Drosophila melanogaster: one gene and its partners. The protein of the gene in region 1 interacts with the protein of each later gene in a pairwise test. Each region holds a gene or a part of one and is shown in the gene's direction. Other genes may lie near its edges.

What was found.
Region 2: the proteins of lobo (region 1) and zfh1 interact in a two-hybrid assay, tested with the Drosophila melanogaster proteins (one large-scale study listed by BioGRID).
Region 3: the proteins of lobo (region 1) and Edem1 interact in a two-hybrid assay, tested with the Drosophila melanogaster proteins (one large-scale study listed by BioGRID).
Region 4: the proteins of lobo (region 1) and Vps33B interact in a two-hybrid assay, tested with the Drosophila melanogaster proteins (one large-scale study listed by BioGRID).

What each region holds. Positions count from the first base shown.
Region 1 is NT_033777.3:25,189,407-25,196,314, reverse strand, and holds the start of lobo (lost boys), read left to right. Parts: upstream 1-2,538; 5' UTR 2,539-2,660; coding exon 2,661-3,077; intron 3,078-3,148; coding exon 3,149-3,277; intron 3,278-3,508; exon of another isoform or gene 3,509-4,030; coding exon of another isoform or gene 4,031-6,376; exon of another isoform or gene 6,377-6,429; intron 6,430-6,908. Other genes in the region: CG13653 (uncharacterized protein), read right to left, coding at 1-527, 596-755; dan (distal antenna), read right to left, coding at 4,340-6,376. UniProt on the Drosophila melanogaster protein: Key component of the nexin-dynein regulatory complex (N-DRC), essential for N-DRC integrity. Involved in the regulation of flagellar motility. Involved in sperm motility. Required for the sperm to enter in the coiled storage seminal receptacle (SR) tubule.
Region 2 is NT_033777.3:30,762,700-30,769,743, forward strand, and holds the start of zfh1 (Zn finger homeodomain 1), read left to right. Parts: upstream 1-3,226; 5' UTR 3,227-3,584; coding exon 3,585-3,681; intron 3,682-7,044. UniProt on the Drosophila melanogaster protein: Involved in the development of the embryonic central nervous system, embryonic mesoderm and adult musculature.
Region 3 is NC_004354.4:1,902,922-1,911,668, reverse strand, and holds Edem1 (ER degradation enhancer, mannosidase alpha-like 1), read left to right. Parts: upstream 1-3,689; 5' UTR 3,690-4,049; coding exon 4,050-4,174; intron 4,175-4,234; coding exon 4,235-5,363; intron 5,364-5,433; coding exon 5,434-7,124; coding exon of another isoform or gene 7,125-7,128; exon of another isoform or gene 7,129-7,347; intron 7,348-7,387; coding exon 7,388-7,457; 3' UTR 7,458-7,965; downstream 7,966-8,747. Other genes in the region: Rbcn-3B (Rabconnectin-3B), read right to left, coding at 1-912; mip130 (Myb-interacting protein 130), read right to left, coding at 3,314-3,316.
Region 4 is NT_033777.3:25,469,882-25,476,779, forward strand, and holds Vps33B (vacuolar protein sorting 33B), read left to right. Parts: upstream 1-3,608; 5' UTR 3,609-3,634; coding exon 3,635-3,691; intron 3,692-3,746; coding exon 3,747-3,847; intron 3,848-3,904; coding exon 3,905-4,223; intron 4,224-4,287; coding exon 4,288-5,733; 3' UTR 5,734-5,875; downstream 5,876-6,898. Other genes in the region: CG4553 (uncharacterized protein), read right to left, coding at 5,881-6,898.

The sequences.
Region 1 (6,908 bases):
GGGGCCGTGCAATTTGGTTTCTTCGCTCTCCCGCTCCCACTCGTTCATCTTGGCCTGCATAATGAGGTCCTGGAAGGATCCGTACTCAGTGTTCTGGCGCGTCTTGGCCGTTAGACCCACATCTCCCTCGTCGTCGTAGAAATTATCGGATTCGTAATCAGTATCCCTGGCCATGTCAAGATCGGGATAATCGTGCTCCTCGGCGTTGCGTGGAATTCCGTGCTTCAGATAGAATGAGTTCAGCAGGCTCTCGATCTTCCATGATGGCATATCGGAAACCATCTTGACGGCGATCTTACGGCGCGGCCTTTTTAGGGTCTTGTGTGGCCTGTCGGCCAGTTCAAAGTTCAACGAGGTCTTCAGCATGCGCTTGGATGCCGTCAGCTTCTTCAGGATGGATCTGTAGAGTCCCATGAACTGATCGGGTTGTGGCTTGGCCTTCGGCAGTGCCTTTGGGTTCTCCAGAATGAATCGATTGAGCAGCTCCTTAGTGCCTTGTTGGTCCTTTTGCGATTTTAGCAGTTCAACTGAAGAGGAAATAATGACAAAGTTAGTGAAGAGTTCAAAATGAGCTTTAATCTAAGTCGCAACCCACCTTTTTCTTGGCTTAGTCCGAGTGTGTTCTTGAAGACGCCCCAATCGTCCTTGGGCCCAGTCTTGGCTGGATTCTTCTCCGCGCTCTTGATGTAGAGAGCCAGGCAGCTTTGCTGGATGGCCGCCAGCAAAATCAGAATGATAGCTTTTCCCAACTGCATCTTCAGATCGATGTGCTTCGTTCGGTGGTTGTGGCGAATGTGATGTCCTGTGCTCCTGCGTAGCTACCCTTATATACCTCGATCCTTTCGGACTGATCCGCATCCGCGTTAATTGACATAACCGCACATCAGCGTTGCGTGGCTGCGATAATCAGACAATGGCTGCAAAGGCGCTTGACACTCGAGACATCCGGGGCGCCTGCGCAAGGACCACTTTTGGCCAAGGAGTCAGCCCAGGACGACATGTGCTTGATTGAACCTCCGACGCGCAGCGCCTGCCTTTGTTTTTCTAGGGAACACTTAGCGCGAGCCGCGGCAATTAAACGGCAAACTGAGCGCACACAAAAATTAGTGCTTACGCATCTTGCCTCAGACGGCGGCCAGGTAGACCGCGTCCAGTCCTCAGTCCTTGCCACAGGACCAAGCTGGACGAGGCAGAGCAAGGCGACACCCAACGACAGGCGACTACTAGCGGCCAATGTGGGAATCAAAGTGCGTAATTGAGTCGCTTAAAAGCGCCAAATGGTTTCATGAATGTACCGCTCTCACCAGGCTCACCAGGTAGACGCTCGCCTTTCAAATGCGAAAGGAAGTACAAATAAATCCTAGCGCCAGCCATAAACGGATCAACTGCGCCGATCTCAATCCGCTGGTCTCCGCTCCTGCTCATCGACAAGTTCTGCGCTCGCTAATTATTCCTGAATGCGGGTTTTATTGATGCAATATAAATAATGCAAATGCAATTTGTGGTGCATGCAGACAAGGGGGTGGTCCCTAAAAAATGTGCCATCTAAGTAAGCCATTGCCACTGTCGCTGCCACTGCAGCTGCGGAAGACCAGCATTGAGTTTTCGACGGGTAATTATGTAATATGCATAATGACAATAAATAAAGTTAGTCGAAATATACATATGTATGTATGTAGGTAACCAGGGAAAAGATTAGGTTGAATGTGGAATTAGCTTTATTTAAATTAAATCAACAAAAAATGCACAAGGTGAAGAAGTAGTTCTATATATTATATCAATTTTTCACATTTAAAATATGTGACTTGTCATACAATTTACCAAATATTTATAAGTAGGGAAGTTTTGTGCCTTCTGTGCTATAATACAAATATAACTTTGATACATTCCATCAAATTTTATAGAAAATAGCTATTGAAAAAATAGCTAATTGAAAATGACTAGCGAAATGAATGGAAATTAAATAGTTTTTTATTTTCTTAAAATATAGCTATGCCTTAATATTCAAGGCTAAAAAGCAGTAGGTAATCAATCGTTCAAGGGCTTACCTACTATTTTAAAAATACTAATGTCAATTTTAAAGTTATTCTCTTCATGACATGAAGCTTACTACTATTCTTTTGCTAAAAGGTGATGGCCATATGCTATTCACAACCTGCTTGCTCTATTTTAAAAATGTTCGTTACAAAAAGACTTTTGGGTAAAATTGTTACCCTACTTCAATTTTACATGTAGACACTTAACCGAGAAAAAAGCAGTAGAAATTGATATACGAAGCAGGGTAAAGAAGTTCAAATCTAATGCCAAAGCAGTTACAAACCAGTACAACGGTTATTTAGCCCAGACGCAAACCAGAATCAGGAAGTAAAGTAATGTAAAGTAAAGTTTTCAACCGGAAGAAGGAAATGTTCGTTCTTATAAGAAGTTATTTCAAGCGAAACCCACACAAAACTAATTAGAATTACGAAAGTTTTTTAAGCAAATTACAATTTTTATATATTTTATTTGCTACAATGAACAGACTAGCACAACACAATACATATTTCAATTTCTGTCACATCTAGCCGTTAAAATATATATTTTTCTACAAACACCGTAGTTATAGAAACGAAGTTTCTTGTTTATTATTTTAAAGAGCCGGCAATTGTAACCACGCCAAAATGCCGAAAGTACTGTTTCAGAAGTACAAGAAGGTGGTGAGCAACATCGACCCGAGTCGCTATAGCGCCAAGTTCAAGGAAATCGACGAGCAGAGGCGCTCGCAAGGTTCGGAATCGGATTTTGCAGATGAAATGGAGGGCGAGTTCGAGGCGGAAATGGAGGAAATGGGATCTAGTGAATTTAGTTTATCCGAAGGAGAACCATCGCTCAATATCGGAAAGATCGATTTATCCTTTCCCGAAACAGTCGAGGAGTTCGAAAACAGTCCCCAGTGCTATCCTCCATCGTACTATACCCTCTCGCCCAAGGAGCGGTTGCTCCTGCTGTACGCTGAGAATTTCCGGAAGCAATTGGTTCTCAGCTACCCAAAGAGACGAGCCATGGTCTTGGCCCTGCCCAACGAATGCAAAGTACAGGTGAAGTCAGCACCATCTGCTCCTTTAGTGGCCAGCGTTTTGATAAATTGCCACTCTTAACCAACTTACAGAAATTCGTTTGCACCACCATCAGGCCAACGGCGTTTATTTACACGCAACTCATATCAAGTGTCGAGGAAATTGCCAAGTTTGTCGCCGATTTCATTCAGTATGAGCCACTGCAGGATCCCATAAATTTGGTAAGTCTATTATGGCAAAGTTGAACCAATCACATATCCATTATTCTTATGTTCCGAGCTCATGTAGCAATATATTTAAAAGTTTATGCGTTCTAAAATGTTCAATAACTTGACCAAGGCAATTTATACTTGTAAATATAAAAGTAAAACATTTAGGTATTTTAGTAGATATATATGAAAAACCACTTAGACCCTCCAATACGACAGCGGTAAGTAAATACGACGACAGTTCTAAGAGTTTCATAAAAATTATCTAATTATTTTTTATTGAACATGTATTTAAAATTACATTTAAATTTGTAAATGTTTTTATTTAAATATCGCATTAATTCCGAATTAAGAAAATTCTTTTGAGCACATTTCCATAGTTATTAATATACGAAATTTAAAAACGTTTGATATCAAATGCATGCCATTCGCGCCAACACACCTTGCAGTTCGAAAAGTATTTTTTCTTTTTCGTAACAAAAACTAAGGGCTATAACATTTTTCTAGAATGCATCATTGGGTGAAAAAACAAACTAACAAAACAGAGTCGGTTGTCTTTCCGTTCAAAAAGAAATGCATAATAGCTACAAATAGAGTTTCTCGATATATACACGTTAACCGTACGATTAATTAATTAATACAATGCAATGCAATGCAATGGAGTGGATTCGAATTGAATTGAAAGATACTGAAAGTATGCTCGATAGGTTTCACAGCTAGGAGATAAATTCAGTGGAGTCCTCCGGATGCGTGGAACCATGTGGTCTAACTGCTGGAGCTCAGTTCGTCGTACTGCTGGTACTCGCCCGTGATCTGGCAGTCGTCGGGGTCATCGTCGAGGTCACAATGTACAAATTCGTAGGGAGGGAAGAACAGGGAGCTGAGTAGGGTGGCCGACGATCGGTAGACGGCCGGCGCATAGACATGGCACCTCGTCGAGCCCTCGGCGGTATCTGCATTTGCATCTGTAGCCAGGACACCGGGTCCTGGCTCTGCATCGTGCAGAGCACCGTCTGGGCTATCCTCTATCTCTGTATCCGTGGCTGGCTCCGTGGGCGCCAACTTTGGCTTTTCCTATTTGCGACGGCGACTCTTGCCCCGCCCACTGCCCTCCTCCTCCGCGGCGTGCTCCTCGCTGTCCTCCGGCAAAGCGGATTTCTCGATCATCGGTGTCTCGTTGCCCGACTTGATGGCGGCTATTAGGAAACGAAGTTGCATCAGCTGCACGGCCGTCACGCGGGGATTGCTGCAATTCTCCAGCCACTGCAGGAACTTTTCGCCATGGCGGATGGCCTCGATATCCTCGTCCGCCGTGCAGTCCAGATACTTGGCCTTCTCCTCCTCGTCCGTTTTGTTTGAGTTATTATTGTTATTGTTATTGCTGGCGCTCACATCGTTGTTGTTCGTATGCGGATTGCTGGTGTCCTGGAAGCTGCCCTCCGATTCGGAGGATCCCTGTTCCGGCATCAACGGACCAGTGGCCTCCATTCCGCCCATCTTGAAGAGCATATTGTCTAGGATCTTCTTGCATTCGCTTGTGGAATTCGTGGTCTCTGGGGTTTTGGTCTTCGCCTTTGGTTCGGGACTCCTGCTGCCTGATGAATGGGCAATGGGACTTTGCGAAGGGGTCATCACTTTGCCGGCGGCTGAGAGATCCTCCGGTTTCCCGGATGCCTCCGGCTCCACTTCGCCATCGAGATCGGTTTCGGTGGCCTCGTCAGCCTCGGGATTCTGTTCGTTGGAGGACAAACTTCTCACCGACGGCGTCTCAGTCTCTTTCGTGAGATGGGAGTACAGTATGTTCGAGGGATCTCCCATGGATCCCCCCTCTGCGGCCGTGGTGGCCACCTGCTGCTGCAGTTGGTTGGCTTGCAGGGCGGCCAAGGTGGCGGCATTGGGATTCAGGGTATGCAGACTGGCACCGAACGCCTTGCACCAGTTGTACCACGCCGCGTTCTTCTCGTCCAGACTGCCCGACGGTGTGGACGAGGGTGTTAGCGGAGCCGAGGGTATCGGCGGAGTCTGTGCCAACTGACTCATGTGCTGCGGCGTGGAAGATCTGATAGGGGGACTGGTCACGCCCATGGGAATTGTGGGCGGATAAAGGGGATTCAGACCCAACATGGTCTGCTGCGACTTGAGCCAGTAGAGCAAGGGATCTTCGGCCAGATTGGAGAGCGTCATGGGCCCGCCCATTTGCGAAGGAGCAATCGAAGGACTGGGACTCTTGATATCGCCTCCCTTGCCCTCGTTCTTGATGCTCAGATTGAGGCTGCCCTGGCCCTCCCCCGGCTTCTGTTTGGCCCAGTTCTTTACCGACAATCCCTGCGCCGATCGATCTCCACTATCGCTCCTGGGGCTCTGCACCTGCAGCGGCGTTTGGCCACTGGGCTTCGGGGTCCTCAGGTTACCAGCGCCCGCTGGGAAACTGTTTAGACCCGACATGGCCGCCAGACCGGGATTCAGCTGGGCCAGCAAGTTGAGGTTTGTGGTCAGCTCGTTGAAACTGATCGCCAGCGGGGATTGTGATATGCCCGTGAGACCCGAAAGGTGCGTCAAGCTAGAGAGCGGACTAATTGCATTTAGGGAGGGATCGGCGGCGGGTCTGTTGATATCGGCACCAAACACTTTGGCCTTGACCCCGCCATTAAAGGCCGCATAGTCTACGGGCAGCCCATTGTACCCAAGATCGGCCAGATTCTTGTTTGTACTGTAGTCCAGGCCATTCAGAGGGGATCGCTTGAAGGCCAGCTCATCGAACTTCAGTTTGTTGGAGAAGTTCAGGGGCAGGGCGCCGTCCAAACGCTGGCGTTTCTCCGGCGGTCCCAGAAGACCTCCGCCGCCTGCTCCACCACCTCCTCCTCCTCCTCCATCCATCTTATCGCCCAGGGCGTCGGCGCAGAGGTTATCCGTGGCAGACTGGCGGGACATGAAGCGGAGCTTGTCCTCGTTCTTGCACCAGCCGCGCAGCGTGGACTCGGGCACGCCGATGTCCCTGGCCACCGAGGCCTTGGACTCGCCATCGTGGATCCTCTGGATGGCATGGATCTTGTCGCGGGGCGTCAGGCTCCGCAGGGGACGCTTGCCCTTTGTGCCCATGCGGATGTTCATGTGGGGGTAGCTGGAAATATCCAACTTTAGGCCGTTGTCGAACAGCTTGGCGTCTGCAAGAAAGAAGAACAAGCGGTTCTTAATTAATTACCGTGACACACTTGGCATATCGCATATCGCACGGCGGACCGATGCGTTCCCATTCGCCAGCGGTGTAGCACATAGCGATATATATGTACTCGTCTGAATGGCGAATGCCGTGTGCGCGCGTCCATGTACTTTGCAGGGGAAGGGGGTTGGGGCTCAAAAACGGTCGGAAGAAGGGGGTGGGGGGCGGTCTGTCATGGGGTGTCAGGATGTGCCACAATGTACCAGGATGTGTCAGGATGTTCAAGGGGTGGCGGCTGGTGTTTCGCATGTTCGCACGGTGCTCCAATAAAATCGCCGCGCGCTTTAAAATTTTACAGACAACTCGCGGTGTAAATAAACCGCACAGCCGGGCGTATGCGCTATATTGCGTATACGTGTAGATGGTTCCATCGTATCTACATATATACGTACATAGCTATACAGCTACGGCTACAGTCAGGAT
Region 2 (7,044 bases), 5.6 Mb from region 1:
TTATTAAATAGTTCACTAAAAATTTGAATAACTATAAACCTTAAGGTTAGCTATTAATGATTTTCGACATTTTATTAATTGCCTAAATTAGTGGCAACTGTAACCCTCGCTGCTTATAATATTTCATTATTTCCAAGACAATAACCAATCAGTTTACGCTGCTTTCCACGAAAATCAAACCAGGAATCGCACTTTGCGCCTGGAACGAGCACTTTTCACGAGGGGGAAAATCTTCCCACACGAGAACCACACACTTGACTAAAACCACCGCCCCAATCAAGTTCTAACCCTTGAAAAATAGAAGGGGGAAAATGGGGCTCAGACCGCTGTACATGCATTTTGGGGACGATGAGGAAATTTGACATTTCCCCGCCGCCACTTAAATGTCACATAAAGTGTTAAACGAAATGAGGCAAAGGCGGCCGCAGAACAGAGGACACTTGAGATTTCGATTCCGATGCCGAGAGTCCGATGTTTGTGGCGACCCCAAAAATGTGCATCACTCTGCACCACCGAGGCCAGCACCAGCAGCACCACCACCACCACCACCACACCACACCACTTTCTATGCCATATAGAACCACCACATTCTGAAAAGTATTTACGCTGTCATTACTTTTCGGTTCGGTTTCGAATTGAATTGGTTTCGGGTTCTTTTGTTTTTCGGGGCCGCGCAAAGTTTACTGCTAATTAAAAATTGTGGAAAAACGAGAAACATGCATGCAATTCAATCCCAAGGAGTGTGGGAATGCGATGACCCATCTGGAGATCTGAGATTTACAGCAAACACCCCGAAAAGGATTGCCTTTTCCCAGAGTCCTTTGCTTCATCTTCTCGTCGATCCGACGATTGTAAAGTGAAATTAATTGATTCCTCCGTCGATGACGTCAATGCGGAACCATCGAAAGTACTTAGCTAACTCTATTTTATGTGGGTACCAGCAGCGGTGGGTGAGAATTTCCAAAGTCGTGGAAGCCCAAGCTAGTAGCAATCGGAAAATGATCGACAAATCCAATTTAAATAAAGAACCTACAGTGGGTGTTGCCTTCGAGAGCCTGGGAAGAAAATCCTTGAGTGCGAATGCGGGACGTGGTAATTGAAGGTACTCGCCATTGAACTCGGATGCATTTCGATTCGGATGTGTGTCAATTAAGTGGTTAATGAGGGCAACTCCTGGGGGAACAGGAACAGGAAGTGCTGGGAAACAGCAATCGTCCTGATCCTGATTAAAAATATATACTTATGAAGGCGGATTAAGATCTACAAAACTCGGGGAGGTACGAGCTCATTGCAAGAGATGAATTATTTTCAAGTCCAGACATAAATATCTATTCTGATTCATTCTCGCATATATCTTATTGAGTCATTTTCCCACTTCATCAGCCTCCAATTTTCCCTGGGGCTTTTCCGCCAATCGAACGAGCGCAACAGGTGCAACCGATGGACGACCAATGTGCGCACCTTGCTCGCTTCTCATTAAACACCCACGCCACCTCACACAGATACTCAACACACGCGCACGCGAGTGAACGGCAACTAATTAACATACAAAATGAATGCGAGGCAACAAAAAAAAAGCGGCCTCTCCGGCGGCTATCTCTCTCTCCCTCTCTCTCGCTTGCACCGCCGGCGCTCTCTTTCCCGCTCATGGCAGTACGTTTCAAGTGAGAAAATTATGAAGCTCCACCTATTTTACACTTACACACACGTAGCGACCGCGTTTGTGAGTGTATGGGTGTGTGAGGGAGAAGGGGGAACACATGTTAACCGCATTAAAAATTAATGTACAAATTGTTTATTATGTTGTCGAGTCCGCCTTTTGTTTTTGCTTTTTATCAAAGAGAGCATGTTTCGCTTTTTTTTTCGATAACACAATTTCTGTTACCATAAATATCTTTTTATCCATTTATACTTTTAGTTTTCAAATCTATATGTTTCTTTGAGCAGCAAAATATAAAGTACAAAAAAAGCAACATCCCAAGGGGCCGCCAAAACTTGTTGATGGAGCCAAAGAATCAAGCCACTCGCATTCTGCTCTCTTCGTTAGAATTCTTCGGTTGTCCGGGATCTCTTGGATCTCTGTTCTTCTGTCATTTTGTAGACGTGTCCATTGATGGACATTCTCAAGAACTCGCCCATCAGCAAACGATGTCATTAATGTGTGGCAATCGCGGAACGATTTCGGTATTTCTTACTCGGAAATCGCAGCAGAGGAAATTTTGCAATCGCAAGTGCAAATGATTTTGTCCGTTAACGCAGCGATGTGGCCAGGAAAGGGTTAAGGGATTCCCTGGAAAAAAGAAATCCCCTTTATCTCGCACCGCCAAATTTACCCGAAAGAAAAACGATCGAAAGCTTTCTTGAGTGGGGAATTAATCATAGCGATATGCATACATATGTGTGTAATTCCCACACGGGGAATATTTTGTCATAAACTTGATTTACCGGAAAGACTTAAAAAATTATAATACAAGTATATAATTAAACTATCTTATTGCTGTTCAATTCTGGGAATTTCAGATAATTCCTATTTATTGTTGAGTATTAAACTGTTTATTAAAAATATTTCCTAATTATAACAATTAAATATGTAAATCACTTAAGCTCTACACTTTAATATTGATACCCAGCAGCACAGAGTATTAATAAAATAACACCGAAATAAATTTGACGGTTGGCGGAAAAGTTAATGGAAAGACTCATAAGTCGCTTTATCAATAAAAACGAAATTTTGTGCAAATGTTAATATAGTCAAATCCCGCATAACGGCCATATGTTTACGAGCAGCACGATGAACAAAAGAGGCCACCCTTACGTAGTGCTTACGTCACGGGATAACCGAGAGGAGCGGCACTAACAGCGCTTAACATTTACGATATGCGATAACAGAGAGCTGTTATGTTAAGAATGAAGCGCTCTCGCTTCTCTGGCACCACCACCAACACACCACCCATCAGAGCATTAGAGCACCAACCACACTACCCCCGCCCGAATCACCTCGTACATCGGAACGGTGAACCGTTACACCGTTATATTATGCTGGTGGTGGCACGGAGCACACACACAAACAGCGCCGCCCTCTCTCACTCGCTCTCCGTGGAAACGTAGAACCCCGCCGTATCGCCCTCGCCCGAAACTCACAGTTCGCATCCGACGGATTCGGTAGAGGACGTCGGTCTCTGTTTCGTTCTCGGATTTGGCTTGATGCTTCGAAACTTAGAACTCTGAATTCAGTTGCATCGTAGACGTCGCGACGGCAGCACACGCGTCGCTCACCCACAGAGAAAACTCTGAGCAGCACACAGTAGAATCACGCAGATATAGAACGCAGATCAGTGAAATCGCCCACAAAATAAAAACAAACGCGACACTCGCAGCGGCGCATCGCGAAGAAAAATCCCAGTGTTTCCCATGTTCGAAAGATAAAAAACCCAAGGCCCTTGCCCAAATGGCCGCCACAACACGTGTGTGCTCTATAAGAAAGAAATAACGCCGAGCCCAGAAGAACCCACTAGCCAACTAGCCAACTAGCCAAACAAACTATCCGCATCAAAGTAGAGCAAGTGTTGCAACAAGCATTCCAAATGTTGTCCTGTCTGGCGCCGTCGTCTTCACGTTTCGGCCAAGAGGATACCATCATTCAGCAGAGCATGCCCTCCACCTCCCCCTTCGCCATGCAGTGTAAGTGATCAGAACGCGGATCTGGAGCACAGATCTCGGGTGATTCATCCGCAAACCGCCTCCATTATCACCAATCAGCCGTGCCATAGAACTTTGTGTTCAAGTGATTCGCGCGCCAAGACTCGGTAGCTTCGATTTGAAGATCCCCACATGCAAGCTTAGCAGTTTCCCAGAAACCATCCGCCATCTTGGGTATATGTGTGGTCTCCACCTTCAGGGGATCATAAGAATGAGTAGCTATAGAAAAACAAACTCATAAACGGCGAGTAAGGATCGAGGCAGGTCTCGAATTACCATTACCTACTCCTACGCAGAGAACGGGCTCCGGTTCTCAAAAAGGAGAGAGCGAGCCCGAAACCGAAAAAGTTTGCCCGATCAGCACACTGAGAGAAAACTGGGTCACTTTGTGCAACTTCTATACGCTTTGAGAACTTAAAGAACTTATTGTTGTTCAACTATAATCATTCGCTGGTTTTCAGCTACGAAAGTCCTTTTCCATGAGCTAAAACTACAATATAGTTAAAATTAGTACGGTTTAACATGGCAGATCATTCGATTTCTTATATCTATTGGTCATATCACGCTCTTCACACATGAAAGTCGGCCAGTCGATCTTGAATAATGGCATTATTCCCTGCATTGCATAGCATAGCCACCTCTCTGTTCCTCCCAGTGGCCGACCAATTGCAGCCACATCTCAATTTGATTTGTTGGCACCGCCGAAACAGCACCGCCGCCTTGCCAGTAATCTCCACCCACCGAGAACCAGGTAGAGCTACCCCTGACCAGGAAAACCGCATGCGCAGGCTGAAACAGCAGACGACAGGTAGCTAACTTGGCCAACACCATTACCGCGATGCCGCACCTCCATTTAAGAACCTGTTTTATGGCCATATTGCTGGTCGCTTGCCACTCTGTTTATCGAGTGTAAACAAAGCATAAAACTGTCAGTGGGCAGAGCTCATCGGTTGAAATGGAAGGTGTGAGAAAGAGCCGAAATTAATTGAAAACGCTTAGTTGGGGAGCATTGGGGATGGCGCAATGCTGGGGAAACGCCCACGATTCGTTCGGTGCTCCACTCCTCCGACTCTGACAATTGATAAGCCAGCTAAAGAGACGGATTAATTGCACATGTTCGGTGGAAACGGTTGAAACGGTGGCAACACCGCTGCCATAAATTATAATTTATGGCTATTTAAGCAGCTCCGTTCTCTGTGGGCGGAACTAAAAGCCCTCGAACACGATAGTTTGGCTAATCGATCAGAGATGGCTGCGCACAGGTTGGCCCACATATCTTCGATCCATATACTTTCCGCTTGTTTTCCGTCTCTTCCCTGGGCAAACCGAGCTGCTTGATGGCGCTGGGCAGCTGCGACTGCGATGGATATTAATCGCCGGCTACATACGAAATGCTGTTCGCTGGGCTTTTGGAAAAGCCGGGGGAAAACGCCAGCCAGCCAGCCAGCTAGTCAGCCAGCCAGCTAGTCAAGTTGTACTAATTTTCCGGCTGCTCGGCGTGTGTTGTGTCGCATTTCGAAACGGCTCCAAAATGCCGTAAATCAAAGATTTCGCCCTGGCGAAAACCTGTCGCCTGTTATCACCTTCGACTACGCCCCTTAGCTAAATATACTCTAAATATACTCTATGTATAAATCAGCGCCAATTTCCATTCCCATTTTCGCCCATCGAAGCCCTGAGCAGAAATTAAACATTTATCTGACATTTGCATCTTCGATTGGGAATACCTACCTAGTGTGTGTGTTCCACCAGCAACAAGATTGCCTCCTGTCTAATTAATCATTTTGGCTGCTGTCAGTGGATGTCAGTTTTATATGCTGGTGCTGTCGGTGCTGCCATTTATAACTCCTGGCCGGCTCATCCTGCATCTTTCACCGGGCACAGGACTCTGCCCCGTCAGCTGGTAATCGAAATTAAACAAACTTGGCCCCACAAACTATCTGGCAACTGGCATGCAAAGATGATTAATTTTGCCGATGCCTATCTCAAGTGGAGTTGGAGACTTCGGCCCGACTTTGCCCAAAATAAACAGACTGTGTCTTTAAATTGCAATTGAGCCAGGCTACAGAGCAAAAAAAAAAAAGGAAGCTCCCCATTTGCAACCAGCACAAAAGGACAATAAATCAATGAGGGGAAAGTCCTCTTTGATATCCTGCTGCAGATTCCCTTTATTCCGTGTTCAACCTGCCGCAGCTTTGGGCAAATTATTTGCCACATTTTACTTTTATTTCGCATTTTGGCCAAAAAGTAAATTGTTTGCCAATATTTTTTGCTGCTCGCTTTTTGCCGCCGTCGTGCACACAATTGAAACAAAGATAACTTTGAAACAGTTGTAAAGTGAAAATTGCACGGAATGCAGCCCGCCTCCTTGCGAATATATTTTTTCTTATTTATTTAATGCCCGCCGCTCTCCACGAGACAACAATTGCTACCCGTGCTATCCCCCGAAAAAAAAGTGCCAAAAAATCGGCGCAAACAAAAGGGTGCCCCCTGCCACCCAACCCTTGCAACACCCCCTTAAAAAAGGTGTTGCCAAAGGGCAGGCAAAATTGCAGCGCCAAAGAGGAGGCTCTAAAAAAAAAGGAGTGAGCAGGCACAATTTAACATGTAAACGATTTTGGTTAACGGGTGCTGGCATTGAGAAAAACCGGAGTGGAAAACCCAGGGAAAGCCATGAAATTGGCGAGTGGAGAGGGTTCAGAAGGGCACTTCCCTTCTGATTGGCGTTCAATTGCAATAAATTTCGCACAATTGCACAATAATTGTTAAAAGTTTTAAATAAACAAAAATAGTCAACAGCTCTATTGTGGTAGCGCCAACTGAAAAAGTTTCAATTGCACTCGATGGGCTTTATTTCGGAGTTGTTTTTTTTTCGAGCGCGTACAATTTATACACGAGTCGAGAGGACCAAGTGAATATCAATTAGCCAAGTTAAGCCCAACTTTGGTTGTACTTGCTGAATTAATGAAGTACGTTTCAACTGGCTGAAGCTTCGGTTTTTGGTATTCAGTTTGGTATTTATATATATGTAAATTAATATGCCAATTTTTAAATAACTCATAACTATTGCTATTCTGACAAATGTAATCGTTAAAGTATTTCAGAGATCTCTTTAAAATGGCGAATTTAGTTTGTGCGTTATTAAGATTTTTCGAATATTATTCAAACTAATTAAAGTAACTATTTCGCTCCCTTTGAGGAACAAGATGCCAAAGTATCTCATGGATGGCCGGGCATATTTCCTTCACGATTTCCCCTGCTTTGAACACCTCTGCGGCATATTTCTCTAATTGCTTTCGGCTCGCCAACGCATTGCAACTCCAATTTCAGAGCGTAGAACGCCCA
Region 3 (8,747 bases), on another chromosome or scaffold:
GTAAGGTGCATCCCTGACCACACTCTTCGAGTGGAACTCCTTGTTGTCGGGAATGCAGTTTGCGGGCAGCTTGTACAAGTAGCCCTTTCCCTCATCTGTCCATAGCATTACCCGGTCGGAGGTGATGAAGTCGCCGCCCTGCCAACGTTCCCTTGCGGGAGCAATTACGGAGCAGAGTACAGTGAAGTCGCCGGCATCGTAGATCTGCCAGTATTTGGTACAAACTAAGAGCACTGTGCGCTGGTTCTGGGCGCAGCAATTCATGGTGATGGCATTCAGGCAGCGGATCTCCTTGGATTCGTTCTCGTAAATGGGCTCCGCGTGTTTGTTCTCGTTACCCGTCAGAGTCCAGACCTTCACGGTTCCGGTGGTGGTGATGGCCAACACTACGTCATCCTTGCGACGCATGGGGCGCAGTACGTGAATAGCGGATATCCAATCCGGTTTGACCTTTGAGCTGAGCACGTAGATCACCTCTAGGCTGAACGGATCCATGACCATGATTTCAGCATAGTAGCCAATGCAAAAGAGGCGCACATCCTCGCTGTTGGCGGTGTGGTAGCTCTGAATTTGGGTGTGCACCTGTGGAAGCTTGACCGCCTCCATGCACTTGCCGTCCGTAAGATCCCAGGTGCACATCTCTCCGTTCTCAGACGAGCTGACCAGGAAGTTGTTCTCCGGCAGAAGCGAGGCACGCACTAAGCACAAAACGGGCGCCGAATGGCCCACCAAGAGGCACCGCGGCGACATCTTCAGGGTGGTGGGCTCCACTTGCCAAAGGCAGATCTGTCCATCGTAGCAGCCGGTGACCAGGGTAAACTGATCGTCCGAGAGGAACACGCTAGAGATGCAGTGCGTGGGCGCGGTGGGACCCCACAGCACCACGGGTACCACCAGATTGGTACTCACCATGGTGGTGCGCTTTACCCAATCTGTGCGGTGGCTCTCCTTCTTCTCCTCCTCCGCCGGCTTCCTTCTGCTCCCTGCTCGTGTCGCTGGTAATCGTTGCTTTGCTGCGACTGCGGGCTCTGCAAGAATAGTTATTGAGTAAACATTTGCTCACTTCCACCTAGTGGATGCGAATTATTTATGGTGGCCCCTGTGTGTGTATGAACTCCAGTTGTGGTCGGCTTTGAGTGCGTGGATGGTGCAGTGAAAGCTGCTAGTCAGTGACTCACCCAAGGTCCTTCGAATTCTGTGATTTCTCATCATCATTTTATTCAACCTGCTTTCCTAGCAGCTAATAGTGCTCTACAACCCACAGCTGTACGATGTAAATTGAAAACTGAATTTATATGGCGTTCTTAATGGAAAAGATGAATGGCAAAAGGGGTAATGTTGCCTAACGTTTTATAAACAAGCTCAGTTTCTCATTTCCTGTTGAATGTTTAAACAGACTTCGGGAATAAGCGAAATCGAACTAAGCAAAGTTTACATTTACAGCTTATGCAATTTGTAAACAATATAAGAACAATTAAAGGAACAAAGTGCAGCCACATTGTCGAGACTTTTCATATGCTTAACTGACGATTTTTGGGCCACTTACAGGAGAAGCATAACAAATTGGGTTGTAAATTCAAAAGTATTTATAGAGATCCATCTTAAATCTTTACCTAGAGTATGTGATAAGATAAGAACTTCCTATTTTTATGGATAGATTATTTGGTATAGCTACAGTCTTGGGTCTTGCGAGCTGGTTCTCTGGTCTGATAGTGATTTCTGTGTGTTATAGTTGTATCAATCAGGAATATGACTTTATCGTGTTAGAGAGTTCTTCACAGGGCTTTCCCCTCCTAGCTTGCAGGTGAATTTGTCAGTCGGAGTGACCTGCAAAGCTCTTCAGATAAGACCGCATTACAGGGGACACTCGTTCCAGCACACGCCACCTTATCGGCACATGTGTCCAACTTGGCCAGCCTCCACTGTACTCCACTCCACCTCGGATTGTCCAAAGATAAACAAGGGTTATACAATACATATGTGCGGCAAAAGCAGAGACTCAATCCGCGGATATATATCGGGTTTCGTGCGGAGCTGGGTATATGGGAGGGCGCCTGATGTCGCCAATTGAAAGATCAATTAATTGGCCGACTATTTGGCATCGCAATTTGAGCGGATTTTGCTTCTGCTATCGCACACAAACACACACACCCTCACACCTGGACACGCACACAGGGACAAGCCATAATAATTGTAGATAACTGGGCATTTATCTAACATTTTTCAGCAGTTTTCCGTATTGGGCTGGCTGCCGCGCGTGATTCCTCCGCTATGGATTCCGATTCCGATGCCAATTCCAATTCCAATTCCGAATCCGAGTTCGATTCCGAGTCAGCCTGCTCTCGATATGGAGAACTTAATGATGGTCCGCTACTGGTGGTGACGCTGCTTATTGATCCTGGTCGACGGACATCGCGGTGGCGGAGCAGCGGACTTCAATGTCGATTTCGATTCGATTTGATTCTAATTTATGGACACGGGACGGGCGAAACGCACACCACCCCCCGAGCACACCAACACACCAACACCTTTCCGCTGTACAGATTGCTTACAACACACACACGTTGCGTTGCTGTTGCTACTTTGTTATTGCTTTTGCTCGCCACTTTTGCGAACTGCTCATATTTGTTGCACACACTTTCCGCTGGAACATGCACTCCACGGGATCAAAACACTGCACTGTACTTTCGATTTACTTAGCTATTTCCTTTTTTTTTACACGAGTGTGAAAAAAAAGCAACGAAAATCGACCGTGGAGTAAAATTTTTCGATAGATTTGCGTGAGCGGATAGGGTTGCAACCGCAGCTCCGGACGCTCTTCTATCGATGCCATGCGAGGGGCGACAGCCCTGACCAAAAAATTTAATATTTTTCTTTAATTGTTTATAAATATGCAAACAACTGGGTGGAAACACGATTTCCAGATCCCAAATGGCACACGCTTATATCTACGGTCAACGGGATGGTTTCAATGTGGTTTCTGGTCAGCCAGAGGCAATCCCGCATGTATAGACCCACAATGTTGTTACTTTTCGCCCAACGGACAATTAAGCATACGCGATTGCATTTAAACGATCGCCTTACGCGGAGTACAAAAGGCACACGGGCCGTGATGCAGTTACTCCGCGAGGTTATAGTCGACCCTCTTTCTGAGTTTTTTTTACGCGGAGAATGATTCAAAACCGAAACACATCGCTGCCCATCGCCAGAACTGCAATTCGCAGTCGGAAGCGTAACAAAGGCTGCGGATTTCTTGGTCAGCTCATCCGGAGGATGTCCGGGTGTGAAACGGGTGCAGAGGGCAGTTACTTACCATAGGGTACAGTTGCTTCTATTGGAGGCGGTCGTTTCGCTGAATATTTTGAATTTAAATCACTTTTTACCCGTACGAACACACACTTTTGAATGGCCACAAAAAAAACTGGTATGTGCTGCCAACTCGACGCGAATAAAAGTATAAAGGAACGTGTGCCGCGCAAAGCAGTGACAAACAATCGGTATATTTGTCATCACAAACTTTTTGAATTCTTAAAGAAATTGCCATTTAATTTTTCCAACCCGACTTTAATATTGCCGCGCTGATTTTACGGCTATTCTGAGCTGTTGTATTCCTTTAACAAGCAATGACCACCATGCAAATTCGATCTGACCACCCTTTCGATAGTTATTCGATCAGCAACAGCTGATTGCACCCTACGGAATGACATATCCTATTGCTAGGGATTTTGTTGGGTAAAATTAACGTACTTCAGAATTGGCGGAGAATACAGTGTTTGCTAGCCTATAGTGTTTGGTTGTTACCTTAAAAAAGCTCTTTGGCTTGTGTTCTTTCCCCCGTTTGCTACTCTAAGCGCTCTATAAAAAAACACTCACCGAACGGAATTAGTAGGGCATTCGGCGGTCGATGCCACCGCCGAATCAGCCCTTGTTGTGATTTTGCGTCAACGTAGCCGCATTTGACTTCCACACATCCCACATCCACGCTGGCTATGGAACACTGACCATGCCCATAATTGAATTAGCGGCCCTGATTGATTGACTGTCCCACGATGCAGCAAAAACCCCGAAACAACGGCTATCCGGGCACCCTCATCTGCGCGGTCCTCCTCGTCCTGCTGTCCACCGGTGTCAGCGGCCAGAAGCAGTATTCCAAGGCAAGAAAGTTGGAACTGAGGTGGGTCATTGCTAGGGCTAAACTCGGACATACTAATCCTAACCGGCAATGAATCTGCAGGGAGGATGTGCGGCGCATGTTCCAGCACGCCTACGATGGTTACCTGCGCCACGCCTCCAACTACGATGAACTGCGTCCGCTGACCTGCGATGGCCACGACACCTGGGGCAGCTACTCCTTGACACTGATCGACGCTCTGGACACGCTGGCCACCATGGGCAACTTCACGGAATTCCGCCGCGCGGCAAGACTGCTCGAGGAGAAGATGGATTTTGACAGGGACATCAACGTGTCCGTGTTCGAGACAAACATCCGCATCGTGGGCGGGCTGCTGTCCGCGCATCTGCTCTCCAAGCGTGCTGGCGTAGAGCTAGAGCCAGGATGGCCCTGCAAGGGACCTCTGCTGCGACTGGCGGAGGATGTGGCCCGACGATTATTGCCAGCCTTCGTCACGAACACGGGTATGCCTTATGGCACGGTGAACCTGCGCTATGGCGTGCCCAAGGGCGAGACCTCTATAACCTGTACGGCGGGCGTGGGGACATTCCTCATCGAATTTGGTACCCTTAGCCGGTTGACCGGGAAAACCATCTACGAGGATGTTGCTATGAAGGCGGTACATGCTCTATGGGCATATCGCTCGCCCATTGGACTTTTTGGCAATCACATCGACGTGCAGAGCGGTCGTTGGACCGCCCTCGACTCTGGTATCGGAGCAGGAGTGGATTCCCTTTTTGAATACCTAGTTAAGGCATCTGTCCTGCTCAATCGCCCAGAACTCTTGGAGTTATTCCATGAGGCTCGCGCGGCCATTGATAAGTACATGCGGAAGGAGGACTGGTACGTGTGGGTAGGCATGAACAAAGGCCGCGTCACCCTTCCCGTCTTTCAGTCCCTGGAGGCGTTTTGGCCCGGCATCCTGAGCATTATTGGCGACACGGAGCCGGCCTTGCGCACCATATCACGGTACATTGGGGTCTGGAAGAAGTACGGCTTTCTGCCAGAGTTTTATAACATTGCTGCTGGAGAGGCATCGCCGAATCGGGAGGTGTACCCCCTGCGACCGGAGCTAATCGAGTCAGCTATGTATCTCTATCGAGCCACAGGAAACGAGTATCTTCTGGAGTTTGGTGAGCACATGCTGGAGACCTTGGAGTTCAGTGCCAAAACCAAATGCGGATATGCAACGGTGAGAAGTTCTGTGAACAAGCTTTTTAAGAACTTAAAATTAATTAATATATACTTGCATTATTTTCCAGATTCGCAATGTTGTCACCCACGAAAAGGAGAATCGCATGGAGTCATTCTTCCTGGCGGAAACAAGCAAGTACCTTTATCTGCTGTTTGACGAGGAAAACTTCCTGCACAACGATGGGTCCGGAGGCGAGCTGCTGTCAACCGAGGATGATGTATGCGTGGTACAGGCCGGTGCGTACATCTTCAACACAGAGGCTCATCCCATGGACATGTCAGCCCTCCACTGTTGCCACGCCCACAACGAGGACATCTACACCTCTCTGGATCTACAGCGGTTTAGTCCACGGGCGATATTAGAGAGGAGCAAAAAGCGGCAGGTAGCTGTTCAGGAACAGTGGGTGCCGCAGTGTCACCCAGAGAACAACGAGTTCTTTAATAAAGAGGATGAGAGTGTGCAGGCGCAGGACTCTGAAAAAGAGCAGGAACGCGAGCAATCCGGCACAAGCACTACCATGGCCGTAGATATTGAGGTGTTCGACGAATTTCAACAGCCCGCCGGCGATCTGTTAGTAAGCAACTTCGAGCAGATACGCGAGGAGCGGGAGCTAAACGAGAGCCTGCACAGAAACGTGGTGGCACGAAACCAGTTGACAGTCAGCGATTTGGATGAATTCTTTGCTCAGCGACGGGAGAGTTTCGCAAGCGCCTCCGAGGCTCTTAACTATGTAAAGACCTTCATGGGCAACTATACCATGGATGTAGCCTTTATACGGGGCTTGCAACTGTACGATACTAATATGAGTAGTGTATTGGGCACAGGCGCCCAGAAAGAGTATGAGTCTCGAATGAGGACCCTTTGGCAGCTGTACGAACTGCAGCAGCAATATGTGGCCAACATCCGAGTGATTCAAGGATTAGGTTTGCTAACCTTTCCGGCGGACGGTGACCGGATACCTAGCCATTTGACAGAGGTGTTGGACAGCCTGGATAAGTCGGCTCACTTGGAGCATATGGATCTACAAGATCTCGAAACAAGAGTGTCCAATACCTCCTCGCCCCAGTTGGCTCATATAAGAGAAGTTATTCTAAAAGCACGTAATGCCTATGCCATAGCCATGGTCAATACTTCGGCCATGCAGGAATTTGCTATCCGAATCTACCTCAGTGGCACTTCGGAGGCCGGTGTTCGCATTCACCCACTTTTGGAAGACGGAGAACTAAGTGAGGAAGCACGTAAAAGGCCATTAAAGTTGGCGGAGGAGCGAGCCCTCTTCAGCTACGCCCGTCGAATAGTGGACTTTCGGAAACGAATGGCGGAGACAGTTGATCGATTGCAGACGCTCATGCAGGACATTCCGCCACCCAAAAGGAAAGAGGCCACTACCGACTCTCAGGCCGCAGATGCGTCCACAGTCTACACTCAAACCAAAGCCCAGATGGCGGCGCCTGCACAGCAGCCGGAGCCGAGCCAGGAAGAGAAGCAGTCGACACAAATTCAAAAAGGAAAGCTTGCCGAAAACGGCTCCGGATTGGGTGAAGAGGAGTCCGGCTGCGTGTGGTCGCAGTTGGTGCAGACCATCCTTCGGAAGACCACGGTGCAGCGGGTCAAATTTGACGAGGCCGTGCTCCAGGAAAATACGCGCAAGGCACTGGAGAAGTACGCCCGCAAGGAGTTACCCCACCATCTGTTCGCCTGCCACCGGCCGGAGTACATTGAGGGATTCGCCTATCGGGACTTTTATCCGGAAGCGCTGTAAGCTCGCAATCACCTCACCGACCAACACGACTGATCTGTAGATAGATATGTATGTATTTAGTTACTTAGGGGTATTCGCTCTGGTGACTGGGCAACCACATAGATAAGTCTCACGCAGATTTTATTCCCAACTGCTCTATTTCCGATGGCGATTGAAAAGTGGGCTGTTGGGCCCTTTTATTAACTTATTTTTGCAAAATTAAAAGACGTTTTTTCTGGTAACGATTTCGAACGATCATGGTATATTTTTTTTTTTTTAGCAAAGTTCGGCGTCGATGCGCGCATGACAATGAGCGACTCAATTGCAGAGCGAAAAGGACAGAGCGCTAAGCCAAAGCGGCAAGCGCGAAAGTACAAGATGAAGACAGCGCGAGAGGAGGGGAACTTAGATAACGAAAGAGAACCATCACCTCTAACGGTTTTCTGATATGTTGCCGATCATGATATTTGCAGTGCTGTACTTTGTACTTTTCTATCGTTTAAATTGTAAGCTATGTACATATATGTACGTACATATGTATGCAATTACCAAACCATTTCCAGGAATTTCAACTTCTTGTACAATCATGTTTACCAGCGATTTTTTAAAGCTCAGTTAAGATATGATAATAGAACTTCCAAAAATATGTATAGCTAAAGAACCTTAAGTGGTCCTACTTGTGCCGACAATTAATTTAATTAGCATATGAACCCGCAACTCTTGAGGTTTTCTCAATACCTTACCAAGGCTTAAACAAATTTATATCTGTAATAATAATGGTTCGAGTGCTTGTGTGCGTGTAAACTATTTGCGATGACTGTTGTTGGCTGTATTGTAATTAAATTGATTTATTTCCGTATTTATGTATTCAATTAGATTCGATTAGGCTAAAATTTACGACGAATCGAGAGAGTTGCACAACCCGAAGCAAATGTTGAGAATCGCGGCGGCCAAGTGCCGGATGTGGTGGCCACCTGCTCCTCTGCCTCTAGATAATTTTGTGGCTGCGATTGTTTGGACACGCAAAGGCAATCGCTCGAATGGGTTTATTTTCGGATATTGCTGTTTACTTCAGGGATTTGGGTTTTGGGCTTGTACTAAATTACGCCAACGACATGAATGGAGCCAGCCCTTGGGTGCTGGAAGCAGTGATGCGAAGGTATAGTAAGCTCCTATTGTTTACAATGTAGTAGTTAGCCTTAAAATAGGCGAGATAAGTTCCAGTTCCAACCAATCGATGACTTTCGCCTTCGGTACACTTGGTTATACTTCAACCAATTCCAATCTTGAATATAACCAGTGATCCGTCTCATCACTGGCTGACGTCCTTTTACTTTCTCTTGAGCCAATCGCATACATCGCGGACAGCCCACAGCACCTGCTGGGGAAATTCGCCCGACAGGCGCCTCTGACGTTGGTGAAACTGTGATTGTGGGTCACACCACTGCCATCGACACCCCCGGGAGTTGGGAGCAGCAACTCCTTGGGCCCCGTGGGCTGCGTCGTGGGGATGCGTGTACAGTATTGGTAACGTTGCCTGCCATGCAGCAACAATAGGAAAACTTTAATGAGTACAAGTTGCTGCCAAAACGAAAAGACAGCCAGGCAGGCAGTGAGCGGCAGGCAAGGGGATTGTGGGG
Region 4 (6,898 bases), 280 kb from region 1:
GTATTTCATGTATTAATTCATCTGTAGCGTTTAGATACTTCTCAAGTATATTTCTTAGGCTCAGTTCCACGAATATAGTGGCCAAGTAACGATTTGCTGATTTATTCGCTATATTTGCCGCACCTTCGTTGCTTTTCTTTGTTTCTACTTGGACACGCGCCAAAATACTTTGCTCAAGGCAGGCAAACCACACACACAAACACTATCTGTACGTCAGAGCAAGTCATCCATCCCAGATTCTACATCCCCAACATATATCCATTGTGTCTCCCAACTCGAGTTGGGTTCACTTTCGCCATTCTGGTTCGGCGCAAGAAAAACAAACATGGCTCAGTGCGTCCGTCCCAAAGAAATGATGAAAGCCGAAGAGCGAAGAATGCCGTAGAATGAACAATTCTTTGTTACTTGTCTTGTCTTCGAGTGAGTCGAGTGAGTCACCCTAACGTAAAGAAACGCATGAGTGCGAATTGCCGCGATTGTTTGCGGTTTTTTGATGAGTGTGCTAAAATAAAGCACTCACTTTTCTTTAAATGTACATGCATATATGTACTCACTTTTTGGGTCTAAAAATATTGTAAAAGAAATATACAAATTAAAAATACCTAATCATGTAAAATGAATTCGTTACCAAACTAGCACACAAATCAGCTAAAAAGCGACGCAGTATTGGCAAATGTTCAAAAAACGTAAGAATAAACTTCAATCGCATTTTTCCAACACACACATGTGTCAAAATGTACCGAAAATGCTGCCCAAAAATAGAACCCGCCAAGTATGGGAATAATTACATTTTTAAACAGACTTACGCCAAACACCAGAGATCGAAAAAGAGAGTGAAACGAAGCTAATACAAAGCAATTTATATGTGTACAAACAGACAAATGGAAATATTTGCCATATGCCAACAGAAGAACAATACTAATTGGGTTTGATGTGTGAGCGTGGAAATGAGCAGAGCAAAAACAGACATCAAACCGACGAAAATTCACACGCCTCCTCCACACAGCGAACCAAAACGAGAATCTTTTTGGGGATTGGGTAAATTTTTTGGAGGGGGTGGGGGGTAACGAATAGCAACGCACGTTGCAAAAATGCTTTCTGCTTTCTTTTTCAAAATCATTGCTGTTTGCACGAGTTCTTGTTTCGTTTTCTTCTCCCGTAGATGTGTAATTTGTTTCAGGTTTTAATTAGTGCCGAACTTTGGCAAGAGAATTTATGGGGGTGCGATTGGAATTGGGATTGGAATCACCTTCGGGTGATGGTGTTGTTTATTTACCTATGTAAATGCAAATGAATTATTTCGATTTGCTTTGCTTTCAGCTTATTATTGTTTTTATTAAGCGAGTGAAGAGCGCATCTCGGACTGGAAATCGAATTGAGAAACGCCGATGGCCTCGATAAACTCAGCGGAATTTCCCATTAACGGGAATCCACATCTTCTTTAATCCAACTAACGATTAACCACTCTTATGAGTAATAATAAAATGTCGCATTAGTCGGAATAAAAATTCATTTCAAGTAAAGATAATTAACTTGCTTTTAGATTTATTCCTAAAGCGGATCCTAATGATTTTTTCTATATCTAGTATATAATGGTGAAACTAAGCAGTAATACTAATTTCAGCACAAGAAAATCAAATTGTTTGTATTTTATGCAATACAAACAAATCTCTTAAGATTTGTTTAGTTCTGAAATGATGATTCATGTTTAAAATTTCTCGCACTTTCGAGAGCAAACCTACAATTATAAAAAGAAAAATAATATGAACGCAAATTTTACATTATTTATGCTTTCAATTATAAAACAATAAATATTAAAAAAAATCATATATAGTTGAAACATTCTAACGTGACTCTCCTAACAAAACATACTGTTGCAAAACCTGTTCTAAGCTAAACTACTTAAAAACCTTTTAAAACTTGTAGGCAATTAGCAAAAGTTGAACAGTCTGGGCAAAAATTAAACTTTTAAATAAATCGAAAGGCCAATAAATTATAAAACCCATGGCAAAAACTTATTTTTAATGGGAGAGAGGGAAATACAAACAAATAAAGCATAATTGGGAGGGGCAACAAGAACAACAACAATAAGAAACGGGCATTAGAAAGATGAGCACGAAGAAGAAGATGCGATTAGAAGGCACGGGAGCGCAAAGAATAGAAAAATTAAAAGTAATCTAAACAGCAACCTGTGCAGCGTGCCCGAGCGAGACAGCTGCTCAAACCGGTATCGCAACAACAATTGAACCGCAAAGAAAACGCGAAGAAGACACACACACGGACTATAAGAAAATAATGTTAGCCACTAAAACAAAAACAGAACGAAGCGAAAACACAAAGATAATGATTGACAAAGGCAACAATGTACAACTGCAAGCAGGACAGAGTGAGAAGGAGAGAGCGGTAAAAAAGAGACGAATCTGCGGCACAAAAGAGAAGACGAGAACATGCAACAAGCTGCAATTGCCCAAAATAACAACAACAAACCAGACCGCACGGCTATTTTTGTCATTAGATTAAATATTTCACATATTTTTGCACAGTTTCACCCACATGCGCCAAACCCAAATTATTTATAAACAATGTAAGTGCAAGCTCACCTGATAACTGCAAAATAGGCGCCTGTAACTTTTGATAATATGGAAAATCTCAATTTAAATTTGTTGTTGGCTGTTGCTTTGCTTGTTGTTGCTGCCGCTGCTGTTGTTGTTGTTGTTGAATTTCACGCGAAAGCAGGCAAGACAACAACATAAAATCACAAACACTTGCACGCACATACGTCACACACACCCGCACACACACTTGGACAGCTGAGACATAAACACACGGAGAGCAAATCGCAGCGAGAATGGGAGAGAGAAAGAGACAGAGAGCGATAACAAATTTGTTTTCTGGTTTTTCTTCACGATTTTATTACACGCTTTTCGAATGGCTAACCATATTTTGATTCACATTTAATTCGCTCCAATCACAGTGTGTTCCGTGCGCTTGCTAATTTTCGATTTTCCACCGCAGAACTCCGCCCGTTTTGCTGCTGTTTTGGCAATCGTCTCTCTCCTGGCTAAAAACATATGATTTCGGTTGACGGAATCACGATAAAAACACATAAATGCGAACAGGGCGCGCGCAACAACTTCCCACGACAAACTCTCGCTTCGGAATTTGGAACGAAACTGCCACTTTTGCAGCGAATCGCGCTTAAATACCCGTCTAAAGATGGGAACGCATGGCGAACCGGTTCGATAGTTCGTGAGCGAACAGCCTTCGCACAGTGGTATGCAATCAAACTGAGCAGTAGATTAAGTACTTTTGTTTAACAAACCGGATAGCTCGAACTTTGAAAATAAGTTTTGGATCGGCAGGAATTAAGACTGTGCACAATTAATGCTTTTAATGGTGACTCAACACTTTGTGACGTCAGTAGTAGCATAAGTTCAAAATAATTAATTTGAGTATAGCTTTTGTTTAATGTATTGTATAGAATAACTAGTAATACTGCTTTTTTGACTGCGATAAACATTTACGTAATAAAAACTGCATATATTTGCTTTGTGACAACCCTATTTTATTTTGCGTGCGTCACCTTACATTTTGCTACCTTGCTGCATCAGCTGTTTGTGTTGTGCGGCGAAGAATGGATTTGACGCTGGACAAAAAGCTGCAGGGATTCCAGTTGGTGGCACAAGAAAAGGTATAATAATGAATCGGAAGAGTGAAACTATTAACTACCTGCAATTCGACTGCAGCTTTGTTCCATACTATGTAGCATACCTGGAAAGAAGGAGTTAATTTTGGAGCCCGACTTGATAAAGCCACTGGAACATGTTGTCACTGCCTCCTGGCTGAAGTAGGTGTTTAATCCATATTTTATGGATATTTACGTCTTATATATACCCCTTAACAGGTTGAAGGGCATACAACGGATCTACAAACATGATGCGGCACAATCTTTGCCCCGATCCGCCGATCAGGTGCACATCTACATGATCCGCAGTGTTTTGGGTACATTTCAGACACTTCTCAAGCAATTGCAACCCGTGGCCTCAGAGGAAATGCCCGACATCTCCATGAAAATGTATCACATAGTCTGTGTGCCCAGTTGTTACTCCTATTTTCAAACCCTGCTGGAACAGGCTGGTTTGTACGGACTGGTGCAACTTCATCACTTTAACTGGGACTTCATCTATTTTGATCAGGGAGTTCTCAGCTTGGAGCTGCCCAATGTGAGTAGATGTACATTGAACATTCAGAAAAGAGTCTTTTATACTGGATATTCTTATTATTCAGCTTTACGAGTGTCTCTACCTGCAGAAGAACACATCTCCATTGCCTGCGGTGGCCCAGAGCCTGCGATTGCTTCAGATGATTTGCGGACAACCGTCTTTGATTCTGAGCTTTGGCCACCACTCGTCGCAGCTAATGCAAATGGCGAAGACTCTTGGCAAACTTCCGGCGCCCACAAATCCTCCAGACTATGGCGGCTGGCTGGTCATCGATCGGGATAAGGATTACCCCGCCAGCTTGCTCACTCCGGCCATCTATGCAGGTCTTCTCTTGGAAGTTTTCGAGCATAGTTCTGGCGAGATTCTGGTAGACAATTCCAAGAACAAGATCCGCAGCCAGCGTGTGGAGTTACTCCAGGGAAAGAAATCCAAGATAGGCGTAAACTCAGCCAGCAAGCCGTGTTCCATTCGTCTTAACTCCACATCCGATGAGATCTACGGCGATAATCGGTACAAACGATTTGCTCAGGTCAGCAGTTTGATTCACGCACAAGTAAAAGCCCTGGGCTTGGAACTGCAGAAACTCAATGACATGCAGCTGGACGAGATGCATGACTATGTGGCCAGGAAGCTACCCAAACTAACCGAGCTTAAGAGCAAAGTCCTTAGGCATCTGAATGCCAGCGAGATTGTGATCCAAATGATGGGTAACTTCAGGAAGCTCCAAACGCTGGAGGAGGACATACTAAACAATGATTCAAGAAAGCGATTGCTAAGCGAGATCGACGAGCTGTTGACCACAGATGGTCAGAGATTTAATACACTGCGACTGCTGTGCCTCTTGCATCATTGCGTTGGCGTGGCGCCCGAGGAGCTGCAGATATTTGCGCGGAACTACTGCAATCTGTTTGGACACCAGGAATTGGGCGTGTTCCAGCAGTTGTCGCAGGCGGGCTTGTTGCCACCACTTGTGGTGGAGAAAAAGGCGCCAACGAAACTGCTCTCAAATCTACCTCTGCCCAAGTTCCAGCAAACGGAGTTTCAGGCCAATGCTAATCGGCTAAAGCTGTTGACCTCCAGTGGAGATGGTCAGGATGGAGGTTCCTCCTCCAAGAGCCAATCCAGTGGCTTGCAGACCTGTCCCAGTTTTGTGTTCAATGGCACCTACATACCATTGGTGGCTCAGCTCTGCTCCATTTTGCTGAAAATCAATAGTGCTGAGGAGTTGTCCTCGAAGCTGGGCATGATTGAGGGGCTGCATCTACACCTGGACAGCGGAAAAATCACGCCCAAGGCCTATGCCAGCCAAGTGAAGCTAAACGGAGTTGCAGATCAGGATATGTTCCCCTTGCGTCTCAGGAATCTCTTTGTATTCATTGTGGGTGGTGCCAGTTATGCGGAAATCGCCGCCTGCGATTTTGTGGCAAAGCTAACAGGCGCCCAAATAACCGTGGCATCCGACTCTCTAATGGCGGGCAGTGATTTGATCGCCACCGCCTTCAACCGCTGACCATGAAGTAACTAAGAATCTGTGTATCAAATGTTTTATATATTTTTATACAAAACAATGATGACAAAGCTTGTGATTAACAATTTTCGAAATTTACAATTTAAACAATGCTCTTTTCGAATAAATATTACCTAAAAGTGGCATTTGCTATTTATCACCACTGGCTCTGGTCATTCCAGGCACTCGGTAGAGCAGCTCTCCATCGTCATCGTAATAGGCATCCTCCACCCGGTAAGTGGCTCCTTGGCGATGCAGTTTCCGGGGAATAACAATGCGTGTTTTCACCTGGGTTATTTCATACTTGCGCTGATCCGCGGCACTGATCACAATCTCGCTGCTCGCAAACTTGGGCACGAAACTGGGCAGGAATCCGGTGCCACTGGGATTCTCGATGGGCCGCTTCATTTCCTCTGGAACTGCGGGCGCAGACTCAACGAGCTGCAATTCCTTAAGCTCCTGCAGCCGCATCTTCTTTTTATTACGGATTTTGTCCAACAAATAGGTTTCATCTTCGGCAGCAGAGGGTGGAGCTTCATAGCCGGATGGGATTTGTGGTGTAGGCATCTCCTCTGTTGTTTTACTACTGCTGCCCAGCAGTTTGCGGAATTCGTTGCCTTGCGGAGTCGGTAGTTGTGATTTTGTGGGCCAATCCTGGATTTTAAGCTCCCGCAGATCCTGCCACCTTCGCTCGGCGAATTTCTGCAGATGCTGGAGAAGAGACGGTGGGATACTGAAGTCACCCTTTCCCGTCCCTAAAAGCTGCCAGTTTTTAATGACGGTTTCATCGTGGGAGCGTATCCTTTGCACACTTCTCGGTCGCCACTTGGCCCGCAGAATTTTCTGCACAATGTCCGGAGTGGCGGGAAAACTTTCGGCCAATCGCTCAACGCTCCATTCCTCGGGATCTCGCTCGTGCAGCAGGCGCATCTGCTCCTTTTCGGCATGAAGCAAGAGATTGGGCAACTTGGCGTCTCGGAAATACTTGTGCTTTATCATAAACTGACGGATGCGGTCGCGATGCTGCTGCTGCTCCCTCTCGTACTGCCGATGGGTCTTCTGCACGTCCATGAAATCCGACTCCAGATCGGCGTAATCCTCGCTAGCTTCGCTGCTCTTTTCCGGGTGCTCCTGCAGCTGCTCCAGCTGGTAACCTAGTCCAGGATTT